Drosophila melanogaster: one gene and its partners. The protein of the gene in region 2 interacts with the protein of the main gene of each other region in a pairwise test. Each region holds a gene or a part of one and is shown on either strand. Other genes may lie near its edges.

Evidence for each region. The genes of interacting proteins can lie anywhere in the genome.
Region 1: the proteins of IM33 (region 2) and CG5687 interact in a two-hybrid assay, tested with the Drosophila melanogaster proteins (one large-scale study listed by BioGRID).
Region 3: the proteins of IM33 (region 2) and naz interact in a two-hybrid assay, tested with the Drosophila melanogaster proteins (one large-scale study listed by BioGRID).

The regions. Positions count from the first base shown.
Region 1 is NT_037436.4:1,933,113-1,940,690, reverse strand, and holds CG5687 (uncharacterized protein), read left to right. Parts: upstream 1-1,587; 5' UTR 1,588-2,097; coding exon of another isoform or gene 2,098-2,193; 5' UTR 2,194-2,250; intron 2,251-4,309; 5' UTR 4,310-4,410; coding exon 4,411-5,079; intron 5,080-5,141; coding exon 5,142-5,303; intron 5,304-5,361; coding exon 5,362-5,477; intron 5,478-5,531; coding exon 5,532-5,891; intron 5,892-5,957; coding exon 5,958-6,419; intron 6,420-6,476; coding exon 6,477-6,759; 3' UTR 6,760-7,058; downstream 7,059-7,578. Other genes in the region: CG46523 (uncharacterized protein), read left to right, coding at 2,098-2,193; Dbx, read right to left, coding at 7,243-7,578.
Region 2 is NT_033779.5:3,695,700-3,698,601, reverse strand, and holds IM33 (immune induced molecule 33), read left to right. Parts: upstream 1-1,943; 5' UTR 1,944-2,003; coding exon 2,004-2,070; intron 2,071-2,130; coding exon 2,131-2,312; 3' UTR 2,313-2,384; downstream 2,385-2,902. Other genes in the region: CG10031 (uncharacterized protein), read left to right, coding at 1-16; CG3604 (uncharacterized protein), read left to right, coding at 831-1,229.
Region 3 is NT_033777.3:18,325,923-18,330,662, forward strand, and holds the start of naz (nazgul), read right to left. Parts: upstream 3,021-4,740; 5' UTR 2,897-3,020; coding exon 2,799-2,896; intron 737-2,798; coding exon 84-736; intron 1-83.

The sequences.
Region 1 (7,578 bases), on a different chromosome or scaffold from region 2:
TTCTGTGCTGTTTTTATAAACAAGTGTTTTAGCAATGTCAACGCCCACTCTCATTAGTAAATTAATTGACTACTACGCTTTCTCCAATTCCCATACGATGGATAGAGGGAGGACGGAGGAGGGGTGCTTGATCTTGTGTAATGCCGGAATCGAATCCAAAATTCTTTTTATTGGTATTGCGTATTTTCAGTTTCGACAGCACGCAGCCAGCACGTGTGAAGATTGTCTTGTAATGTTTGAAAAACCGTTCGGATCTGATGTGATGTGATTTGATACCCACCCAACCGGACCAAAGTCCGAAAGAACCACTTGGCGGACGAGGGGCTCGACCAGTTTTGTGACGTCTTCGGCCACTTGCATCCGAGGAACAGAGTTAGCTGGATTTGCTTTGGATATGGATGGGGATGGGGATTTGGAATGGAATGGAATTGGAATGGCATGGGATGGGATCGTTTCGGGCCTAAACACCGAGACGCATTTGCCGAACTGCTTTTAACTGCTTTTCGTCGGCTGAGGTAGTTGAATGGCCAAGATTTACATGAGACTGTTAGTTAACGACATGGCGGGCATATTTAATTAATGCAACACGCTTCATGCTTAAGTGCATATCTGCCTAGCTAACTCACTGACCTTTAGAAAAATGGGCGTCGATTTGGTGACTTTCCGCTTGGGGGGAAGTACCTGCTGAATATTTGGAGACCCCCTTTCTTTTTGCCACTACATACTAGATATGTACATACATTTTACATTTATCAATTTATTGCGATTTGAACTCTTTTTGAACTGACCGGCGCCGTTTCAGTTCAAATTTAAATTCAAACTGGGAATACATTTCAATTAGAATTAAACACCCACACTGGCGCACAGGAATTGTAAACAAATAATTTTCTATTAGCGGGAGAAAGAGTGTCATTCCTGATCAAAATCGTACCAGATCGAACTCGTTATCGTTATCCAAGTAAAACACCACATAGCCAGCAATTGAGGCGAGGCGACAAGTGTACAAAAAACGAAAGATATAATCGTTTCCATTATTAATTGGCGCACTTTTTGCCTTTGTGACTCGAGTTACTTAAAAAGTAATAAAGGGTGAGACAAATGGAAATATTTACACATCACGCAATCCCAAACTGGCCAAGAACCAGCAATTAAACTTTTATGTTTGTTTACAGCGCATTTCACTTGGCTCAACTTGCCACAATTAACAATCGCCATCGAGGGATATGCAAAGGAGTTGGAAAATACCGGATATTTTCCGGCCATTCGTGGAGCGTCTTCTGCAGAATTGAAAATGAATCTTCGCATATGAATCAGAGCGTTTCAATTCCCTGAAATTAATTGATAGCAATTTAGGAAACGGTTTGGCAAACATTTATACACGATTTTCAATTAAACGTTTCCTCAAGCTTATTTTACTTATACCCATCATATTTTTATATACATTTACTTAATACCTACATACCTACCTGATTATAAGTTTCCTATCATTTTCTCAATCTACTAACCTTTTAATTTAAAGTTATATAATATTACATTAATAAACATTTAATATTTAATATCTGTTTCATTTATAGTATGAACCATAATGTCTTTGGTTTTATTTTTTAAAATAGGCTTAGTGCCCAGAGTCTGTTGAAAATAAGTTGCCTATATCTTAGCACTCCACACGACCATTGGCTGGCGATCGAGTTTCCCTCTCCGTGGAGATCGGCGATATCATATCCGGCGACGCTTCGCCTGCTCTTAGATCGATTTTCTCTCTTCTTCGCTTTTCAGACCCCAAAGAGATCTCGATGTGGTGGGGTTCCCGAAGCTGAAGCTGGGAGCCCGAGATCTGAGATCCGAGGCCTGAGATCCGAGATCTGTGATTTGCCTGCGCCGCCTTGGGTGTTGTATAAAATAGCGTAACGGCCGCTTGCAAAACTCATTCATTTAAAAATTGTCAATACGTTCGAACAGCGATCGACGACGAGCTGGGAAAAAAGGGAAACAACTAGTGCTCGAAGTGAAAAAAAAACTACGGCAAGGACTCGGCTCGAGGAACCAAATCCAAACAGTGATCAGTTTCATTTTGTGACTAACTAAGAAAACACGTTAATGAAATACAGAAACAATCGTGGCACAATATTGCAAATCCAGTTCAGAACATTTCTAAGATACAGTGCAGCAAACCTAATTCCATTTGAGAGCTAAACGAAGACGACAACCGAAGGATATCGAATTTGACGAATTGAAAAATTACTAACCAAGGTGAGAAGTTGTTCAGTTTTTCAGTGAAAGCGGCAATGCATGCCAGTGAGTTATTTCGAAATTTATCATACCGATTGTCACTGATAATTGGTAGTTGCAAAATATCTCAGAACATCAGAATAGTAAAAAGCATTAGCCCAAAGGAAATTTATTCCAATTACTCATGACTAACTAAAACTAGAGTAAAAAGTTGCGAGGGCAAAAACAATTTGTAAAATGCATTTGTCGAACAAGCTAATAAAGCTGAAAGTATTTATACCCATTCCGAAGGCATTTTAATATTTTGTCGCTTGTGTTACTTCACTCTGTTTTTTAGCTGGCTAATCTCGCCAGTTTTGAACTAGGTAATGTTTGCAGCTGTCGTGGCCGTGGAAAATCTCCTTGCTTGCGATTGGTATCTTCTGCCAACTTGTCAAGCGGACTATTTTGTTTAAATTAATTATAATAGAATAGAAGCGAGTTCGCCCAGACGAGATAAAAAAAAAGCCGAGGAAAGCAAAACAAAACACGCATATTAATTGGGCTCGAAGACGATGATGATGCCATTTAATGGAAGCGAAGGGCCTTTGGAATGGGCTGGGCGAAAGTCCACCAATTAAGCCAGACGCCTGTCCTCAACCAGAGCCCACAATTCATTTGACCCGTGTGTTCCTCCACCAAGGAAAACGGGTTTCACCCCAAACACAAATAGCCAACAAACAAATGAGCAATAAATATGATTTCGTAGTTTAGATTACTCAAATCAGAAGTTTGTAAACTTGAATAAAATATTCTACGATGAGCTAGAAACTAGAAGGAGCCTAGACCATTCCTTACTGGTATTTTCTCTCTGTGCATCTGGACATCTCTCTTGTGGTCGGGCCTTTTGCTCTTAGTTTCCGGCCTTGCCTTCGGAGACTTGGAAGCTGCTCTTCGAAGATTCGCCGAGCGATGGCGAATTTCTGGCCCAAACCGGCGCAATCCGGCTCAGTCCAATGGCCACCGATCTAAACCAGTTGAATTCGCTTAAATCTCGATTGGCGCGCTCGCACTCCCCATTTTCGCTCAAACATTGTAGCCCAATCTATTCGCCATTCAGGCCATATGGTGCATACATGTCCATGTCGCACAGGAGCAGCTTTTCTCAAATGGTTTGATTGGCCGGAAAAGTGGGCGGGGGCAGTAGAGGCGCCAGGAGGAGTGAGGAGGCGCCATGGCTTCTGGTCTCATCAAGAATAATTGTCGAGTGTTGGGGATCAATTGAATGGGGGAAGTGATTGCCATCGTTGATCAGTTGCAGAATGTGTGTTTTATGATTTAACAATTAAGAGGAGACGGAGGAGGCATGTGTAATAAATTTAAGTTACTCAAAAGATAAGGCTTGTGTAATGAATTCAAATACTTGACAATTAAAACGACAAGTAATTGCATAAATCAGCAAGGAAATTGAAATATATTAAAAAAGTTTGTTACACATCGAGTAGCATTATGCAATGAAATACATCCTAGAATTGGCGTGAAATAAAATCAAATATCTTAACAAATTCCTTACCACTTGCAAGCCGTGCGATTTCTTTTGGCCAGAAATAACCAGTTTGAATAAATCAACGACCAGTTTGAGGCAGCTTTCTGCTGGGCCTTCTTGCTCATCGCCCGTCCACTTGTAACCCCAAAAGAGCCATAACTCTGGATCTGGGAATCCGAAATCCACAATCCGAAAAAGAAATATCACCCAAAAAAAAAAAAAAAGAAGAGCGTTGCCTTGACTGCCGCCCCATGAAGAAAACATATTAATCATAAAGCAATTACGCTCAAATGGAATTGTTTGTATAAGGAAATAATGTATTTGTACTTGAACATGAGACGCTGGCCAATGGTCGATGGCCTCCCCTCCTCCGGATCCAGAGCCGCAGATCCAGATCGTTTGGTTAATTAATTAATGGGCCCCAAGATGACACCAAGTGTGACACCCACGGTGCGATGGTGCTTTGTAATGCCGCCTCGTTGCAATTCCTCTTTGCGAACCTTGATCTTGCCAGTGATCCAAGTCTAAATCGCTTCCGATCCGATCTCGTTTCAGTTTGCGCACACGTCGCCGGGTGGAAAGTCGGCTGGAGAAAGTGATCTCCCGGAAATCGCCATCCTTCGATCCCCATCCTTAGTCCTTGCTCGTGATCCAGGATGTTCGCCACCCAGGACACCATTCTGAAGTTGCTGACCCTGTGCGCCCTGGCACATTCTATAACCGCATTGGCCCTGCAGGAACGGTCTCCGACTCCAGGAGGATCTGCTCCCTTGGATTCCAGCCACAAGTACTTGATAGTGCGCGGTGAGTCGCCCAGTGAATCCCAGGAGCATGTGGAGTTCGATAATGCCGCCACCCTGCTCCTGAGAGCCTTCAAGAATCAACAGATTCCCGCATCCGCGGAGCTGGAGGAATGCAGTGCGCCCAGTCACAAGGCCACCTTCTCGGGCTACGACTACGTGATTCTGCTGGGCATGCTGGTCATCTCGCTGGGCATCGGCATCTTCTATGGCTTCTTCCAGAAGGGCGGCAGCTCGTCCAACGAGTTCCTGCTGGGCTCCGAGATGAGCATCTTCCCGGTGACACTCAGTCTCACGACCAGCTTCATCACGGCCATCGAACTGCTGGGAAATCCATCCGAGATGTACTTCCAGGGCACCCAGTTTGTGCTCATCGTAATACCCATGGTGATTGTCATTCCGGTTGCTGTGAAGATCTTCTATCCCATTTACTTTAAAATGGAGCTCACCAGCTGCTATGAGTATCTGGGCATTCGGTTTGGCAAGGAGATCAGGATTCTGGGTGCAGTGCTCTATGTCATTCAGGTGGGTTCTGGGATTTAACTCGAAAATGAATGAGATTTATATATAGACTCCTTCTCCTTCAGATGTGCTTCTACACGGCTGTGGCAGTCCTGGCACCGGCAATTGCTCTGTCTAAGGCCACGGGACTGGACACCAAAATCGCCGTGGTCCTGATCTATGTGGTCTGCGTTTTCTACTCCTCACAGGGAGGCATGAAGGCTGTAGTCATTGCCGACTCCTTCCAGGTGAGTAACGAGATGGTGGAACTCATCAATACGAGAAGATATATCTAAATCCTTTTAGGCTGCTGTCCTGGCTGTATCCTTGGTACTGATCGTGGGCTTGGGCTGCTTCTACAGTGGCAATCCCATCCAGGTCTTTCAGACTGCTTCCGATCACAATCGCTTGGAGTTCTTCAAGTGAGTTAAGCCAAATGAATCCAAGGACCTTAACAATTCTGGTTAATTCTGCAGCATGGATCCCGATCCCACAACACGTCACACCGTCTGGTCGGTGGTCATTGGTGGCTTTTTCTACTGGACCTCGCTGTTCTGCACCAACCAGGCGTCCGTTCAGAAATGCATGTCCTTGAAGTCCTTGAGGCTAGCCAAGATTGCTCTGGGCTTTGCCATTATCGGCTTAATTGTGGTCTTCCTGCTGAACTTCTACACGGGTCTGATGGTCTTCACCCACTATGCGGACTGCGATCCCTTGACTGCTGGACGCATTTCAGCCACGGATCAGTTGTTGCCCTACTACGTGATTAATACCTACGAGCATATTAGCTCCGTGGCGGGAATCTTTGTGGCTGGCATCTTTGCTGCCAGTTTGGGGTGAGCTCTTAAACTCCAGAACAGCTTATGGAAGTCTTATTCAAAGTTTTTCCTTCTCAAAAACAGCACCGTGGCCTCTGCCTTGAACTCCCTGTCCGCTGTGACCTGCGAAGATCTGCTGGTCAATGGCATGAACATCAAAATCTCTCCGGAGAAGGGAGCCACCTATGCCAAGTGGATGTCCCTGGGCTTTGGCATTGCCTCCTTCGGCTTGGTCTTCATCGTGGAGCACCTGGGAGGAGTTCTGCAGGCCACGCTTACCCTCAATGGACTGATTGGTGGTGTCACCCTCGGTCTCTTCGTGCTGGGAATCGCCTGCAAACAGGCCAATACCAAGGGCGCCTTCTACGGAGGACTCTTGTCCCTGGCCCTGGTCATATTTGTGGGCGTGGTTGCCCAAATTGTGAGCGTGGAGCAGCCCGCATTGCCCACATCCATCGACAAATGCGACTGCCATGTGAACATGACGAACATCATTGGCAGCTTGCTAACAGAACCTTTGGAAGTCATTGAGGAGGGGGGATTCACGTAAGATAACATCTTAGGTACTAGATATATATATTTTACTTAACCCAGAAATTACAGATCTTGGCCCATTTTCCGGCTGAGCTACATGTGGTACAGCATGATCGGCTGCCTACTCACCGTTTTCCTGGGCTGGTTCATTTCGCTGATCATTGACTTTATCCAGCGACGCAATGTGCTGAAGATCACCGGCAAGGACATCGACAATCCCGCCGTGTCGGAGGAGATCTTCAAGAGCGACTCCCAGGTGCAGTACACCACCACGACGGTGATTGGCGATCCGCGAGAGCTCACAAGTGACGAGGGCCATGTGAACCATGCCATTCGCATTGACGACGAATAGAACTCGAAGCCAAAACTCGAACTCTGGCGGGGATCGACGCTCCCCACCGGCCAATTCCTTGTGTAACCTCCATGTAACCTCCATGTACAAAGACCAGTCGCAATCTGTTAACTGTCCTAGTTTAGTCGAAAGAGTGATTTCTAGTTCTTAAGTCCCAGCCGAGGTTGTTGGCTCAGTATTCTGTACACACACTTACTAATGTTACTACGAAATGATTTTATGTTTAGTTCGTTTTAAGACACCTAATAAAACCTATATATACATATATATTCCTAATCAGCGTTGATTGCTGAAATGTCAAGTGATCTTTGCATTAGTATTGGCATTATGATTTTCAAAGGAGTTTATTTCGTTTTGGAATTTAAATTCGAAAAAATATCATACACATATTAAATACAATAAGTTGAATGCATCAATAAATTTACAATTAAAACATATATGTACACGGACCGTTGCAGCTCCATCTTCGCCTCCAGTCGCAAATCACGTCACGCTGATCTCCTCGTCACTGTCCGAGTTGGAGTCGTCGTAGTCATCGTAGTAGAGTTTCATGAACTCGGAGCCACCTTGGTGCTGCTGCTGCGCATGCTGCTGCTGTGCGTGCTGCTGCTGTTGCTGTTGCTGCTGCTGCTGGTGATGATGATGCAGTTGCGCAGCCGCGGCTGCGGCGGCCAGCTCTACCTCCCGCATGGCACTGAAGTGTGGGGAGTGATGCAGCTGCTGCTGCAGTTGCTCGAACCGGCGCTGCTTGGCCTCTTGGATACTGTTCTCCAGCTTGAATTTCAGATCGGCGGCCACCAGCTGCTTCTGCATCTCGGC
Region 2 (2,902 bases):
TATTCCCAAAAAGTGATCCATTGATGGCGGTCACAAAATACGAGATTGTTTTTAAATTGTAAATGCTAGATGAAATTATTTGTTGATGTATTTTTAAAATAATTACTTGAAATGGGTTTTTGCTAATGCGAAATATATACGTTTAATAATTAACTAATTACAAGTAAGCAGTATATCAAATGTTTATCTATAATTGGAATTAAGAAATTAAGTGCATTATTTTCCACCTATATGCGCAATTTTGAAAATTACCTAATGATTAGAATCGCAAACGAGCGATTATTAGGAACATTTCTTAACCAGACAGTTTATTCATTTCTTCTGAAGCTCCAAAGCTTACCCCATTCGTTAGATACACAAAAAACTTCAACCGACAGTTAACCAGTTTATAGGTAATTCAGTTAGATTCCCATTCCGCTCGCTAAACGTGATTTGGCTGACTAAAATTGTCACACCGATACGGAAGCCACTTGGAATATGATTTTATGGCCAGCATTATGATTGACTTGCGTTGGTGCGTTGATCTGCAATTGAAGGTTGGGCCGCGAAAGCTTCTCCGAGAGCTGTCAGTGCCAGGTGATATCGATATGGACGTGGATATAGACGTCAGAGAGGCACCGCCGTGATTTACATGCGGCGACGAATCAGTTGGACAAACAAGCTGGCGCTCCGATAAATGAAGTACACAAAAAGAGGCAAAACGGTGGGCAAAAACCCAGTTGAGTGAGTATAGTAGTACGTGAGTTAATCAGTTCGGACGGATAGTATTTAAGCCGCAATATCCGAGCGAGCCGAAATCATTCGCTCATCATCCACTCAACGGACTCGAAATGTGCTTTAGATATAGCTTCAGTTTCATAGTATTCGCGGCTGTTCTGCTCCTGGCAGCCGGAATTCGTGCAGCTCCCTCGGATGTCGTCGTGGAGAAGGCGGAGGAGCCCGCGGTGGCCAAACCCCTGCCTGATGCCAGTGAGCTCACTGTTCCGGAGGACTGTCATCAGCCCAAGGAAACCGGTCGCTGTTTCGCTCTGTTCTATCGCTACGCCTACAACGTGGATACACAATCCTGCGAGGAGTTCGTTTACGGTGGATGTGCCGGCAACAAGAACAACTTCGAATCCAAGGAGCAGTGCGAACAGGCATGTTTGGTAAAGTCTGCGGTTTCCTCCACGGACTCAACAACCGAACAAAACAGCGAAGTGGCCACAGAAACTAGCACCTCGTCTTAAAAAATTGTAGTTCTTAGTTTGTAATTTATTTGTCATCCAACTTCATCAGCCTTTTAAAAGCATTTCTTTACTGAGTTGATTATTTGAATAATTTGATTATAAATTTTAATAAATATACCATTGTGATTTATATATCTATTTCGTTTTATTCGCACATCTGGTACTAGCAGTACAGTATGTAGATACATTTGTAAGTGTCAGAAGTGGTTAGCAGTACATCTCGGAAAGTCATTAATTTCGAAACCCGACGGACTCACAAAAACTTGAGTCATGAATAGACGATTTTAATTAATCTTGGGAACTAAACAGTGTAAACAGTAATTTTGATAAAATATGACTACTTTTATAATGCACTTATATCGCAAAGATTCTGAAAACGAAATGTATAAATATATTATACAAGCAAAAGAGGAAATAAATGAAATTTGGGAAAAAATCGGACAAACCCACTTCCGAATGACAAATCGCTGCCTAATCGTGTTTACTTTATTCAGAACGTAGTTCCTAGATTTATTTGCTATTCCGGCATTATTTTCAGTACAAACACTAGCACTAGCACATAGTACTCGAAGTCTCGTCTGTTTATATACCAAATTCACGAGCACTCGTTAATGAACCGAAAGTTCATGAGCATATAGATAAGATCCCCAGCCAATATGTAGTTCCCATCTGCCGATCGGCATGGCGTATATAACCTAGTGCTACACCTCCGATTTCCATTAGTCGTTCCACGGAAGCTGGGAGATATACATAGTTTTCAAAATCGCAATCAGTATGAAATTCATTGCTGCCGTCTGTTTGATGTTCGCCCTGGTGGCTGTGGCCCTCGGCCTCAAGGATCGTAAGTTGGGAGCTGCTCAGGAAATCGAAACCATTCTAATTCACATTCTCAATCTATTAGCTATCTGTGGACTGCCCGCTGGTATTGATGGCAATGGTCTCATCAAGTGTGCCGCTTTTATACCCAGCTTCAGTTATCATCCCGAAACCAATTCGTGTGAAAAGTTCATCTACGGCGGATGCGGCGGCAATGAGAACCGATTTGGAACCCAGGAGCTCTGCGAACAAAAGTGCAAGGAATAAATTTGACCTCTATGCTCTACAAAATATTCAATAAATGATTTTCGATAAATAACTTTTTGGACGATTCTTTATAACTTACCTCATTTTACATCACATAAAGAAAAAAACAAGGTTCGTTTTGATCGCACTATCGGGCAAAGTTTAAGTTGCTGAATTAATTAAGAGACTAGAAAAAAGTACACCCAGAAAAATTGAGAATTAACCTTCGATTTCGAGACGAAAACGATCTGAATGTTGATATTTTCAGACGGAAGGGAAAGGTTGAAAAACTGAGAGAGGAAGGCAAATGAGAGCAAAGTCATTTGCAATCTGAGTATGGTGAGCATTATTCAATCTTAGCTAGATTTTGGGGTCGAAATTGTCAAATCGAGATGGTTGAAAACGGATTTTTCTCTGAGTGTCTTTTTTTTATTATATTATAGTAAAAAGAGGGGTTCCAACGAACAACTGAAACATTTAAGTGGAATTTTTAAACACTTACGAAATGGACCTATCAAATGAAATGAAATATTTTACGGAGCTTTCGCCATGGCCGTTGTAAGTATGACACTTCCCGTTGTTCCTATCGATAAGAGAACATATCCATAATT
Region 3 (4,740 bases), on a different chromosome or scaffold from region 2:
GAGATAGCCCAAAAAGGCAGCTCCTTCGAGTGCACTTCCCCAGTTCCCTCTCGGGGAATAGGTCCCGAACTTTGTGCACTTACCTTTCAGTTCCCTGGCCATCCAACGGGTGGCAAGGAGCACGCAGAGCTTGGAGTGGGCAAATGCTTCGCGGGCGTGGAACTTCACCGACCAGGTGCCCACATTCAGGGGATCGTCGAAATCGATTTTGGCGCCCTGATGGGCATGGGCGGAAACGAAGAGGATGCGTCCTTGCTCCGAGCGTTGCAAGTGTGGCAGGAGCAGGTGGGTCAACAGGAAGGGGGCCAGATAGTTCACCTGGCTGTGCCGTTCGAAGCCATCCTCGGTGGGCATCTGAGTGTTGGCGAATACCACTCCGGCATTGTTCACCAGCACATCGATCCGCTCGAATTCCGCCATCAGCTGGCCGGCAAAGTGATGGACACTGCGCAGCGAACAGAGGTCCAAGTAGCGTGCCTCCACGAAGTACCTGTCCTCCGGATTGTCATCCTCATCCAAGGAATTCAGGGGTGTGCGGCAGCCCAGCTCACGTTTGATTATGGCCGCCGCCCGCTTCCCGGCCTCGAGATTGCGGCAGGCGAGGATTATCCGGCCACCTCGGCCAGCCAGAGCCTGGGCTATTTCGAAGCCAATGCCGCTGTTGCCGCCGGTGACCACCACGATTTGCTCCTTGATTTGATTATCGTTCGGACAGCGCTGGCCGCTCATTAAGGTCCTGGCATGCGGGTAAAGGATACAGATTAGATGGAGTTGGAAGGATGGAGAATGTTGGATGGCAAAGGGGCGGGCATGTGGATCAGTGGGTGTGGCTAGTGGTTTATGGGTAGCTTAATGATGTCCTGCATTCATGTTGCGTGTGTGCACTTAGCTAAATATTACCACTAAAAGTGATTCTTTTTATATGAAACTCATAAAAGATCTTAAAAAAAGAGTCATGCTTTTACAATCGAAGAAACTTTTTATATAAGATATTTTAAAAAATGTTATACATCATCAGTTTTGCGTATAGTAAGTTTCAAATTGACATAATTAGTTTAAAATAGATTTGCTTTAAGCTATAGCATGTTTTTTAATATTTTTGTGTAAAATAAACCTTATACATTTTTTCAAAGTAGTAAGGGTGGCGGTTAAGGGGTGGTAAAGGCATATAGTCGGAATTTTGGCTTATTGATAGGCGTTAATGGAATCAGCATGACTATTTGCATAAGTCTGCCTGCGGCCATTTGGCGATTTGGCTAACTCTGGCCGCTCATTTTCGACTCCATTAATTACGGTGCGTATGTCTGTAAACAATAATTGTCAATTTATTTAATTTCAAGCCTTGGGAAACAAACGAAATTACTGCAGCACAGGCATTATCTAAAGCTATATGCGAAATGTGTTTTAAACTCTAAACAGGTACAAAGCTCACTAATTAGTATATATTCGTGCTGTAGTCAATTAATTCGCATGGCTGAGTTCTAATTCATTTCCAATTCGTTTAATTGCACTTTTTGTGCGAGTTAGTCCACTTGTCTGTAAATTTAGTTTAATATTATGCATATTTGTAACAAAATTCCATTTGAAAGTAATAACTTATTTCGCTTGTAAGCTATCAGCTCAAATGCAGCTTATTTTGAAACTTTAAAAGATATTCACATAAGGTGCTTGATTTTTATTATAATTGGCTTTGTAAACAGAATGCTCACTGCAATCCAAATTTTAAGAGCCCACCTCTCCCGCAATCGAAGGCAATTTAATTTCTGCATTTTGCAGTCAGCTACTTCCTCTATAATCTTCACCGCATTCCATTTGCTCCACTTCATTTGGCGGCGACTTATTTTTGGCACTTAGAGCCAAGTTTGCCATGCCATCCCTCATTTTGGAATTCATTTGGCATTTCATTTACTTTGAGCCAAACTTTCGCAAATCCACTTTGTAAATATTTTGAGGTGGCGGAGGGGCTTGGGCGGGACTTGCTTGCAAGGGAAGTGCAGAGTGCCATATTGCAGTCACTGCCATTTCCGCTTCCGCTTTCCCAGCTTAAACTAACACCTGCAACTGCGAAACGACAGATAGCGTTGGGTCACAAAAACCGCGATGCTCGCGGTGCTCAGGAATAACAAAAACTAGTAGGCGGCGTGGTAAATTAATGGTTGAACTACCAGATACCCTGTACAAAACAAATTAGGCAAAACTCTCAAATTAGAGAAGGGCTTTCAAGAAATACTGTGTTGAATATGTATTAATCCATGTATGCATATAGAGCCATTCTCCGTATAGTGTAACGCTAACTTTACCAACTATATATAAATTTATTATTTATAGAAAATTTAAATGCTTTCCTTAAAAATGTTCTCTATTTACTTTTTAATGCATGTGTGTTTTTTAGTTGGCTACGTGTTCTATCTCCAATTTGTTTCGCATGAATAAAGTCCACCCTGTTAACCCTCGAGTACCGGAGGGTGTAAAAAACAAAAGTGGAAATAATCTTCAGATATTACATATTATCCGGGTCTTCTCTGCACCACTGCTCATCCACTTCCTCTCGAGTTCTCCACCATCTCCGTATGAAATCCACTTAAAAACTTTTCCGCGAATGGTGACGGAGGGGAAGTTTTTACTGGGATGCTGCGACATTTATTTACGTGTGTCCGAGGCGAAAGTTTTTATGCCCCAAAAAAATGGGGGCTTCTGGGGTACGGTAGGGTGCGGTGGGGTAGGGTAGGAATGGGGTAGGGAATGTGGCCGGGTGAATAAAAAATATCACACAGTTTCCGTTGACTCATCGCACTCACCGCACCGTAATCACAATGCCCACCGTGAGGGCCGCTATCGTGGGCCACCACGTGGCGAAGGGATCCGCCTCCTCGAACATGGTCAGCAATCGTTCCATCCTTGAGTGTATGCTTTGGATGCTACTGGGTGCGCGTTAGGTCCTGCCTCACTTTCTTCCCCTGCAATCGATGAATGAATCTGTGACTGGGTCTGCACGACACAAATGTTGAACGAAAACTGAACGGCATCCGTAGTAATAAATATGAATACTCTTTGCGTGGTCACCCGCTGGGTGCAGCATAAGTGAATGTATGTACACACGCGTAACTACAGTGGACACTTCCTAAATGGGACTACAGAAAGTGCTCAAAAATATTGAATAGTGGAAATCTTTAAAATACATGCAACGCCTCATGAAATGCTGTTCAATCTGGATCCGATTTCCTTAATCACATTTATTAAGTATTTATTTTTTAAGCTTTTTTGAAGATTTAATGATATTTTATGCCTACTGTAGTTTTGGTTTTGAGTGACCAGTAAAGAGCAAAAACTGAAACTAGCATGCCCACTTAAACGGGAGATACCCTAGAATAATCATGATTGCATATGTATTCGATTAGATTTATAATATATTCTCGTTTTAAGAATATGATAGTTATTTATGGCTGCTAGTTAGTTCTAAGTGATTGTTCCTATCGAGAGATGCCTGTTTAAATGCGGGCTTGCGAGTGGACCCGCTCTCATCTGAGCTCCGATTTCCAGAGCCGGCGGAGAAGATGTCGTTGACAATTGAATTTAAATGACCACCCCACTCGGCATCGCCGCCTATTTTTTCGACCCCTCAAACGTCACCGGCATATTTTCAATTTACATAAATGCTTGTTGCGCGGCATACGAAATGAGCGCTAGAACGAGAAGGGAAAGTGGCGCCCCCAAGCTCCTCATTTTCCTGGCCCTCGTTTGATTTTTCCGAGTTTGCCACCTGTCGTTGTGGCTCTGAAGGTTAGGTGCAAATTTGCACAAGCCGCAATATACAAGAACGTGAGAGGGTCGGAAAATGCTGCTCGCTATTTACACACGTTTTCCATTTTTTAATTTGTGTTTTTACTTCGCTTTTCATCCCATTTTTTTCCCTTCATTTTCTGCGGCTTACGCATTCAGTTTGCATATTTTTGTCTGCGGCAATGCAGACTAATGTGATTCAATTAATCTTTTCGCGTTTTTACCTCGAAGATTCCTTTTTTATTTATATTTATTCAAAAGTGTACTATATACGCCAGACTGAGTAACCACAAATTGTAATTATTCTTTAACAGCTGTTGTCTGGGATAAAATATGAAGAAAAGTGGTTTGGGATATAGTGGAACATTAATTAATGGGTGTGTTCTAATATTAAAACTAAGAAAACTTATTTAATATTTCAGATAATTAAAGAATTAGTCAATTATAAATTATGAAAATTAGATTATTTGATGATTTTTTAAACAGAACAAAGAAAGAAGAATTAATCTATACTACTATAAAATCTGTCAATTCTGAAGTGTTTGTAAACGCACTAACTGGAAAAGCGTTCTCCTTTATTTGTACTTACATAAATTCGTAAAAATACAAACCCTTAGAATGGAACACACTTATTTACCTTGTCCATTGGCGCACACGCTGTCCAAATTTATTATCCGACAAGAACTCAGCGAAGAGCCATCATCAGTTGTTCACGGAAAATGCTGGAAAATGCCATTCATTCGCTTTCGGTCCATTTCACCGCAAACCTCTCACCCTTTGAAACTTCAATTCAATTACGACGCATCCATAAAACATGCCAGTGACTAAATATATATTTTTCGAGTAATTTAGTTCGTCGTATCACATGCAATGTATGTAGCTTTCACAGCCCCTATGGGAGCCATGGACTATGGAAAGTGCACTCCATGCACTTTGCGCCTCCAGTTCGCAGTGTGTTGT